2 linked regions of the Yarrowia lipolytica genome follow. The protein of the gene in region 1 interacts with the protein of each later gene in a pairwise test. Links are inferred from orthologs where the notes say so. Each region holds a gene or a part of one and is shown on either strand. Other genes may lie near its edges. The genes, in order: YALI1_D21702g and YALI1_E04420g.

What was found.
Region 2: the proteins of YALI1_D21702g (region 1) and YALI1_E04420g interact in binary tests that used the Saccharomyces cerevisiae proteins (3 or more experiments, as listed by UniProt). The link is inferred for Yarrowia lipolytica from reciprocal best matches to the Saccharomyces cerevisiae genes GCN1 and GCN20.

What each region holds. Positions count from the first base shown.
Region 1 is NC_090773.1:2,168,490-2,173,357, reverse strand, and holds the start of YALI1_D21702g (uncharacterized protein), read right to left. Parts: upstream 3,124-4,868; coding exon 3,040-3,123; intron 2,597-3,039; coding exon 1-2,596. UniProt on the Saccharomyces cerevisiae protein: Ribosome collision sensor that activates a translation quality control pathway when a ribosome has stalled during translation. Directly binds to the ribosome and acts as a sentinel for colliding ribosomes.
Region 2 is NC_090774.1:439,204-443,980, forward strand, and holds YALI1_E04420g (uncharacterized protein), read right to left. Parts: upstream 2,874-4,777; coding exon 594-2,873; downstream 1-593. Other genes in the region: YALI1_E04437g (uncharacterized protein), read right to left, coding at 3,332-4,567. UniProt on the Saccharomyces cerevisiae protein: Acts as a positive activator of the GCN2 protein kinase activity in response to in response to low amino acid, carbon, or purine availability.

The sequences.
Region 1 (4,868 bases):
CGTCCTTGTCACGAGACTGGTTCTTGAGCACAAACAAGACAATGGGAAGCACGAAAATCAGAGAAATAGCGTCAAGAGGAGAAGACATGGCCACAGAATGAATCTTGTACAGCACCCGCGTGATGAGAGAGTCACGTGACTCCTTCTGGAGGTCCTCGCTCACGTGATTACCATACATTCTGAGCAGGCAGACGGCCAGGAAGGGTCTAATGGAACCCAGCTTGTCGTTGGTGATCCAAGACATGTCCGTGAGAGTCTTGGTCACGTGACTGGAACAAAGCACATCCACGTTGGGGTGTCTGAGGAGCTCGAGCATGAGCGTCATGGCCGGTCCAAACCACGTTTCTTTGCCGTTATCAACCGTCATGGCTTCCTTGGAGAGGGCGGAAATGATGCCCATGAGCCGGGTCACGTGATCTGCGACTGCGGTGACCTCCGTTCTAATTTCTGCCTCCTTCTTCATCTGTTCGTCTACCTTGATTTGTTCCTCCTTGGTGTACTTTGGCTTTTCGACAACACCCTTCTTCTTTTGGAGCTCCTTCTTGAGGTTTTCTTCCCACAGCTTGTCCTGGTATTCCTTGGAGTTTTTGTGAGCCACACGCTCCGTTCGCTTGATATCGAAAGCCAGTTCGTCAGCGGGAGTGTTGAAGATGGTCACGGCCTCAGTGGTGACACAGGAGAGGTTCGAAACAGAGAACTGCTCGGCAACCTCACCAGCAAAGACGTCAGGAGCAATGAAACAGACTGTAGCGATGGTAGGATAGAGGTTGGAGGAGGCAGCCGAAGACAGAATCGACTTGACATGCTTCTCATTGTCCAACAACAACTTTCGGGGGTCTCGAGATGCTCCCAGAACGGACTCAATCCACAGTCCGACGCCACACAGTACCTCTAGCCCATCGACAAGAGCCTTGTCGCAGTTGTTCTCGGCACTAAACAGCGAGTAAAGCAACTTGGAGTACTTTCTCTCGCTGACGTGGGTGTCAGAAATTCCAGAAATGACAGCCCCAGCCAGACCATCCGAGTAATTGCTCCTCAGAGCGGGACCAACCAATCTAGAGCAGTCAACGTCCACCTTGACCTCGGAGTCGCCATAAGCATAGAAGAAGATGGTCTTACCAAAGTCGGGGGCATTGTCAGGGTTAACCTCCTTGAACAGCGACTCCAGAGCCTTGAAACCAGTGACAAATTCGCCTGCACTGAGTTTGGTGTACACTCGAGGAGATAGAGCCAGTTCCAGAGCCTTGTCAGATTTTACAGCTTTTCCAGCCTTGGTGAGCAGGTAAACAGCTCCAAGACCAGAAATCGCACCCTTGACGATGGTGGAAGAAGCGAGAATCTTCTCCAGCTCACCTGTCACGTGCTCAGCGTGTTGGGGGAAGTTGACCAGCTGTAGAACCCAGGTCTTGACGACGCCAGCGTTGGAGTCAGACAGTCCAGAAGAGAGAGTCTTAGCCTGATCAGGGGAAAAGTGGACCAAAAAGGCACGTGACAGAGCAGTCAGGGCAATCTCGTTCTTCTCCTTGGTAACCACAGGAGCAAGGGCGGCAGACAGAGAAGGATCGGTCACGTGACAGCCAGCAATAGCGTTTCCATAGGCCACTTTTTGCTCCAACACAGTCACCTTAGACACAGTCTTGGCCAACTCGGAGTAGAGGGTCTCGTGAGAGATAGCACAGGCCACTCCGATGCATGTGACAGCTCCATCTCGAGTGAGCTGATTGGAAGACTTGAGACATGTGACCAGGGAAGCGGAAATGCCGTCAACCAGCTTCTTTGCTGACTCATCGTCTTTATCGAGACTCTCTAGCAACAGGGGAATTGCGTACTCGAGAACAGACTCGGGAGACCTCAGAATCGACTTCTTGGTGGCATCAAAGATATCAGCCGCGACCTTGGACTTTTGGTCACGAGACAGGTTGCCAAAGTATCCCGTGCAAAACTGTTTGGTGGCGTTTTTGCAGGGCAGAACCTTGGCGCCGAGCACGTTGGCGCCGTAAAACTGCGAGTAGGCTGAAAGATCCAGCTGCTCAAAAGTTTGAGGAGCATTTTCAGCGCATGCAGATGCTAGACAGCCCAGCAGAGCCGTAGACGTGGGGGTGCCTGGGAGGCATACGTTCAGCAGTTTGGTCAGAGCTCCGTTAGCTGTGATGCAGGCTGCAAACGCGGCTCGGGTCTGCCTCAGAGCGCTCTTGGCCATTCGCTCCCGGTTGCATGCTGAGCACAGGTCCACGAGCTCGGCCTGCATGGAAATGAGGTCCTTGAAGACAAAGTCGTTGAGCTCGGACCCGGCGTTGGTCAGGGAGAAGGACACAAAGTAGTTGGTCCACTCCAGCAGCACCATGAGGTTGTTTGTGGAGGACTTTTTGTAGATGGCAAACTGCTTGGCGAGCACGGGCACAACCTTTTGAAGGGCGGCAGGGTGTTCCTTTAGCAGCAGTTTCCACGTGTCGACTACCACGTCCCTCGATACGTGGTCGGAGTAGTGTGGAATAGTCTGAAAAAGAGCACTGAGGATAGACGGAAGGGAGTCGGGAGAGGACAGGAGCATTTGCTGTTCCTTCCAAAACTCCAGCCGGTCTTTGGTGGATGACATCTGGGTTAGTGAATGAATGGTTGTGCGTGACAAAAGAACACGAACCCGTCCAGCAATTGCACGGAAGCTGTATTTCTATTCTGAGCGTGGACAACAATCATCTATGAGCTCAGTAACGAGCGCACTATTAATGCACAGCGTCATTGGGGGTCAACAAGTGTTGAGAGTGAAGTCTTAGCTCGAGAGAACACATTTAGGAACGAGATAAGGCTTCAAAAGACATTGGGCATAGCACATGAGTCGACAAAGAGATAGACTTGGGTTCAATCCGCAGATGAAACCAGCAAGGCTCTGAGTGAGATCTGGAGTCTCTGAGACATCAGGAATTGCGCGCGACGGACAATCTGAGACTTGCACAAGAGACTTGCACAAGAGGATGCAGGCACGAAAGCGCAACAGGGACTTGGAGAAAAGCTCAATCAACTGGGGACCCCAAAACCAACTGATCCAGATGAGAAGACGATGACATGATGTGATAATGGACACGGAAGTAGATCACGATCCAGCCTGATCACACCGTGTATCATAGCTGTTCACTCTCCAGCTCGTTGTCACTGTGTCTGAGGATATGTGTCTTATCTTGGCTCTTCTCCAGAGCCCACCGATCAACCGGGGATTATGGTGAAATCTCACAGATGATCGCTTTGAGTATGAGGACTGAGTAATTGGTTAGATCTGTAGTTTGTTGATCTGTCTGTCTGAAGTTGTCTGAGTCGGTCTCTGCGTCATTCTCTCTATCTGTCTGTCTGTCTGAAACAATCCACATCTAATCCACACCAAGGTATCACGATAACCACCTGAAAATCCGAGTCCTGAGATCAGACAAGGTGACATGACTCCACACTCTCCAGAACAAACCCTTCAACGGACCAACCAACCAGTCACCAATATCATTCTAGAACTGGCCAATGTCGCTCACAATTCGCTCCTCACACACATCTCTCCATCGCCCACATCTCTCGCTCACCCCTTCACTCTCAGTACCTCTCATAACCCTCTATAACCACCTCATTAACCATCGTGTATAACTCACCATAATTGTCTGTGTTAGTGTTGTTCTGGTTTGAGCCACACTCTCCGTGTCATTCCCCCCAGTCCCCTTCTCGTACTCACTGTATTCAACAGCTGCGATGGCCTGTATAATCCTCAAAGTCCAAACTTGTAATTTGTATGTGATCCGACATCTTTGCTTCAAATGCAGGTGTGACACTTTTTCATGGGTTAGGGCGGGAAACGGGAGGTTAGGGTTGTGGGGACCCCAGGATGTGATAGAAATGCAGACATGTTGTCGGCGGTGAGATATATAGATTGATCACTGCTTAGTGAATACAACAATCTACTTTATATTTGTCGAAGACTCTTCTCCATCTAATTCTGGGTCACGTCCCTCATAAAACCGCATCTCGAGATGCTATCACAATGATAATGGTACCATCGTGACCGCTAGAACCGGGGGATTCTGATGATAGTACGATTTCACTCTCTGATATCCATACTGGACGTTTCACGTCATTCAGTCATATCTTGCACAACAAACCGGCTTTAAAGTCCGGTGAAAAATCTGAACTTTCCAACATTAAGTTTCAGCAGCTTCATTCTACAGATTACGAGTATTATTGGACACTGCAACTACTCGTCATAGCTTAAAATACAGCTAATATCGATTGTTATCTCTTTTCAACACCCTACGAACCACCATGGACCCATCCACAATTTTCGGTCAGATCACATCTCTTGCCTTATTTAAGGTTTGGAACTCGTCTTGGTGAAATAAAATTAAACTGTAAACTCAAGTTACCCGGCCTCTGCGAAATATAAAAACCACCGTTTCACACCTACAAACGGCAACTAAACCGGCCAGTGATGAACGACGTTGTTATTCCGTGCCAGATCTCTTTACGAGAGTCGCGTGACATACCATCATGCGACTGAAGGGCGCTGTGGATCAAAACCCGCGTCTCAACCACCACATGGGGTCTTTTGCCAATCTGAGGCTGGTTTAGTTGACTACAGTTGGTATTTAGTCAAGTCAGGACATTTTGTCAAGTGCATAGTTAGAATTTGGTAAGGCAGTATAGTGGAGGCTGATTACCAGTCAAGTAAATGGACCGAGAAGAGAGACGTGGATATATCTCTGGAAGGAAGGGGGATTGGAGTAGAGAAGTCGAGCCAACAAACAAATGGATTCGACAGGATACAAAAATCACACAATTTCCAAAAGATCCATATAATTCCGGAAATCTCGAGGATAGCAATACAACATAGAATACAC
Region 2 (4,777 bases), on another chromosome or scaffold:
TTTCTTTAGCTTCGGTTGTTCAGAAGAGCGTATGGCGCTCTGAGTCATCAGTCTGCTTAGTCATGGGTCTGGGTTCTAACAAAATCAAAGTTTTCCAGCCTTCGTGGCCAAGTGGTAAGGCGCAGCACTAGTAATGCTGAGATCATCAGTTCAAATCTGGTCGAAGGCATTTTTTTTTCCAACCACCATAATGTATTTTTTTTTTGTGAAAATGATGGTCGATTGTGTCTACTTATACAATATAAGTACTTGTACTTTACATTTTTATAGATCTCTTTATTATGAAACTTCTCCCAATGTCATTTTCCACCTTCAATTACATACTACAAGTAGTACATACACCGTTGTACAGTATACACCTTCAGTTATGAATGCACAAGATATGTGCTCAACTTTTTGTACAAGTACCCCCCATTTCCCAATTGATTTTCCTGATTCTCACTCCCGTTCTTATACTGTACTTGTACACTCTTATCTACTTGTACAACCAATTACTACATCGTATCACCCACGCTAAATTAGCTACCCGTAACACTAATACAGTCAAAACGTACAGGTATGCTCCATACCACTGTTTCTATGAGATTAAATACTTAGTGCTGCTGGACGACACCACTCTCACTTGCGTGAGAAAGAATGTACTTCTTGTAGTCCTTGATGGTTCCGTCAAACTTTGAGACGGTTCCCTTCTCGGAGACCCAGATCTGGTTGCAGACTCGGTTGATCATGTCAACGTCATGTGAAACCATGAGGATACCTCCCTTGAAATTCTTGAGACCGTCAGCCAGAGCGTCAAGACCTGCAGTATCAAGATGGTTAGAAGGCTCATCAAGAATGAGGATATGGGGGTAAGAAACACAGAGAGAGGCGAATGCAACACGAGACTTCTGACCTCCAGAAAGCAGAGCGAGCTTCTGGAGACCGATGGAACCAGTAATACCAAAAGAACCGAGATGTCGTCGGTACTCCTCCTCGGACTTGCCGGGGTTGATCTTGGCGAGCCAAGCGGTGGGAGTCAGGTTGAGGTCCATACCGTCAACGTGGTGCTGGGCGAAGTAGCCAACTCTCAGACGAGGGTGCTTAGAGATGGATCCGTCAACAGGGCTCAGCTGGTCAGTCAGAAGCTTCAGCAGGGTAGTCTTACCGCAACCATTAGCACCGACAAGAGCGATTCGGGAGTCCATTTGGATATCGAGATCAACGTCCTTGAGCAAAAGTCGCTCAGGGTTGTAACCGAAGGTGACGCCCTGCATCTGTAGAATGGGAGGCGAGATTTTTTCGGGCTCAGAAAATCGGAACTCCACAGCCTTATCCTCCTCGGGCAGCTCCAGAATGGGCAACTTCTCGAGCTTCTTGATTCGTGACTGGGCTTCTGAGGACTTGGCCGCGTTGTATCTGAATTTGTCAATGAAGGCCTGCAGATGCTGTCTGTAAGCCATCTGGTTCTCGTACTCTCGGATAGCATTCTTGTATCGCTCCTCCTTAGTGGCATAGAAGGCGTCAAAGTTGGCGTTTCGATAGTAGTCGAGTCGCTCGGAGTGCTGGTAGATGATATCGGTGGCGACTTCGTTAAGGAAGGCTCGGTCATGGGAAACAACAAGAACAGTGGAGGGGTAGGTCTGGAGGTAGTTGGCAAGGTAGGTGATCGAGGGAACATCCAACATATTGGAAGGCTCATCAAGTAGCAGCAAGTCAGGCTTACAGAACAGAGCTCGAGCAAGAGCCAGACGCATTCTCCATCCACCGGAGAAGGAGTTTGTGGGATTTCCTTGGGTGGCCTGGGAGAAACCAAGACCTGACAGAATGGCAGCAGCTCGAGACTCGGCCTTATCGGACTCGATGTCGACCAGCTTGGTCTCGACCTCCTCGAGGTTGGTCTCCAGGTCGACCTGCTCGTCATCGAGCTCTCGGATCTCAGCACTGTTGTCGTCCAGACCCTGCTCAGTGAGGGTCTTTCGTTGGGCCTCAATCTCTGCGATTCGAGTGACGGCAGTGTGCTGCTCCTTGAGCAGATGCTTTCGCCACACATCGGCGTCCAGAACGGACTGGATTGCAGAAGTCTCGTCTCCAGTGATTTCCTGCTCGACGTGGAGAATAGTAATGTGCTTGGGGACGGGAAGCTCTCGTCGAGAAAGAGCTCGCAGAAGAGTAGACTTACCAATACCGTTCTGACCGACCAGACCGTATCGTCGACCGTAAGACAAAGTAAGAGAGGTATCGGACAGGATTCGCTGACCCATACCGACGTGCAGATCAAAGTTGTCGATCTTGATATCCTTGGTCTTACCGGCACCAGCCATACCCAGATCCAGAGGGTTAACTGTGAGGAAGAACTCGTCGTAGTCCTTGCTGTCCTGGGTCTCAGTGACAAGCTTGGAGGCCTCATACTGGACTTGGGCAGCGTCCTTGGCAGCTCGAGCAGCCATCTTAGCGGCAATCTTCTTCTCAGCCTTCTCGAGCTTCTTCTTGTCAACTCGAGACTCGACCTTTCGGCCGCCAACGTGATCCAGATCAGCAACACCAAAGATGTTGTTGTTGAGCACACTGGCCTGTCGGTTGGAGGCGTGGTTAACGGCAGACATGAGAGCCTGCTGATCGATGATCTGGGACTGGGCAGAAGCGCCGGCCTCATTGATGGCCTCCTTCTGAAGAACAGTAAACTCCTTGAGCATGTGGTCGTAGAGCTGCTGAGCAGCAGGCTTCTCAACACCAGCTCCAACAAGCAGAGAGGCGATGAAAGAGGCCTCAGCTGTCAGGTCATGCTGGGGACCGATGTTGTTCTCAAGATGTCGAATGTAGCCAGTGGCGTAGTCCACAACCACGGTGTCTACGTTTCTCGCGGTCTTGGTGACCTCAGCGGCGATTGAAGGCATCTTTGAGGTGTGAGGTTGGGTTGGTGGTTCAGTATAAGTCCTTATTTGCCTTTATTTGCATTAACCTGGTGATGAAATTTCCTTGGAGCTTAATTTGTATACAGACTGTGAGTACGGAGCAATGCTGATGTGTGTGTAGGCAATGGAGTAAGGAGAACAAGTGGCACATAAAAACAATTTCAAGGGACATATCTATATTTTAACACATTCATGACCTATCTACCACTCATGTCCTTCTCGATTTCTCCTCACACTACACCAAGCCCCCAAACTGCATGTCATACTTACATATAGATGGAACACTGGATGTGTCGTATCATACTGTATCGTACCTACTTGTACACTGTAGCTACTGGCTACTGTACTGTAATTGCCATATCTATACAGTTACTTGTCTGTGGACCAAATAAAAAAAATCATTCTATTATATTTCCATGCAACATCTACTGTACTGTTAATCACTCGATTCTTGGGGTTCGTGCAAGGTACTCAAGAATGCTGTTGCCCCAGAGCATGGCGGCTCCAATAGGGCCGGGGTGAAGATCATCAAACATGTACTGGTTTTCGGGGATGGCACGCACAAAGTCGCCCACGTGCCAAAACTCCAGGCCCATCTGGTCCATTACATGCTTGGCTGCGGAGTTGAGCTGTCGCACCTTGTTCGAATGGAACCGGTTGTGTCGGTCCGAAGTGCCGTCGTTGAAGAAGGAGCCTTGCTGTGCCCGAGGAGAATGCATCTGTCGAAAGACAATACGGGAGTTGGGCAGAATCTTCTGAACCTCCAGGACAAACTTTTCCAGGTTAACCACGTACTCACGCACCTGTTCCTCGGTGAGGTAGATGGATTCGGTAATGCCTGCGTAACCGTCCAGACGGTCGTATCGAGCCAGCTCCCAGAAACCCACGTTAAGAACAATCAGCTCCAGGTCGTTGTGATGAGGCCGAGAGTTGACGATATCCTTTAGCAGCTTCATTCGTTCCCAAACTCCTCCAGGAAGCAGATATGACTTCTTCTTGTCATGCCAGATTTCATCAGTGTCGAAACCAAAGAAGAAAAAGGTGGATAAGGTCATGTTGTATTCGGGAGAGTAGCAGTATCGAGGGTGACCTCCAGACATCTTTGCGGGATCAGTGACCTCGTCTGTGTAGTCCTTCTGATAGGTCACCTTGACATCCTGGCCGATCATTTCGCACGAGAAGGCGGCGTTCTGTCTGTCGACCGAGTCACCAATGAACAGCACAGACTTGTCTCTGAGGTCAGGGAAATCCATGCCGTCTCTCAACTGAAGAATAGGAGGCGGGTGAATGGCCTTGCAGTCGTCATTGTATCCGACCCAGTGGGTGTTGTTGAAGTTGTTCTTGTCGTAGTCGATGTAACCAGGCAGAGCGTAGGGGTCGCAGTTGACTCGGGTGCCTCTATACACGTCTGGCGACGAGGTCGATCTTTTGGGGGCGTTAGCAATGTCGTAATAAGCAGCCTTAACGGGGAATTCTACAGCCTCGTCATCGTGCGACTGGTTGGTACTGTCGAGTTCAGTGTGGCCTTCCTTGGACCCACTACTGCTCTCGTTTGTGTAGTCCTTGCTCTTAGGGATCGCAAATGTCGGTGAGGGGAAAATGAAGAATCCCATGAGCGTAAAGAGAAGGGCCACGAATGTAATGGCCGCAATAATGCGGAACCGTATTGCCGTCATTTGTAACGAGTGTGTGTCGGTTTGAGGGTGTTTCAGATCGCAGTAGTGATAAGGAGAAAGAATGAGCTGGCTTTAAACTTCTGTATGTTGGGTGTGCGTGCACTTTCCACACTCGCTGTACCTGAATCAACTAAGCCAGTCATGGACAAAGTATACTGGCAGCACAGCTGTGTACGTTTATGTCTGCTTTCCTGTCTACTCATACCAAGG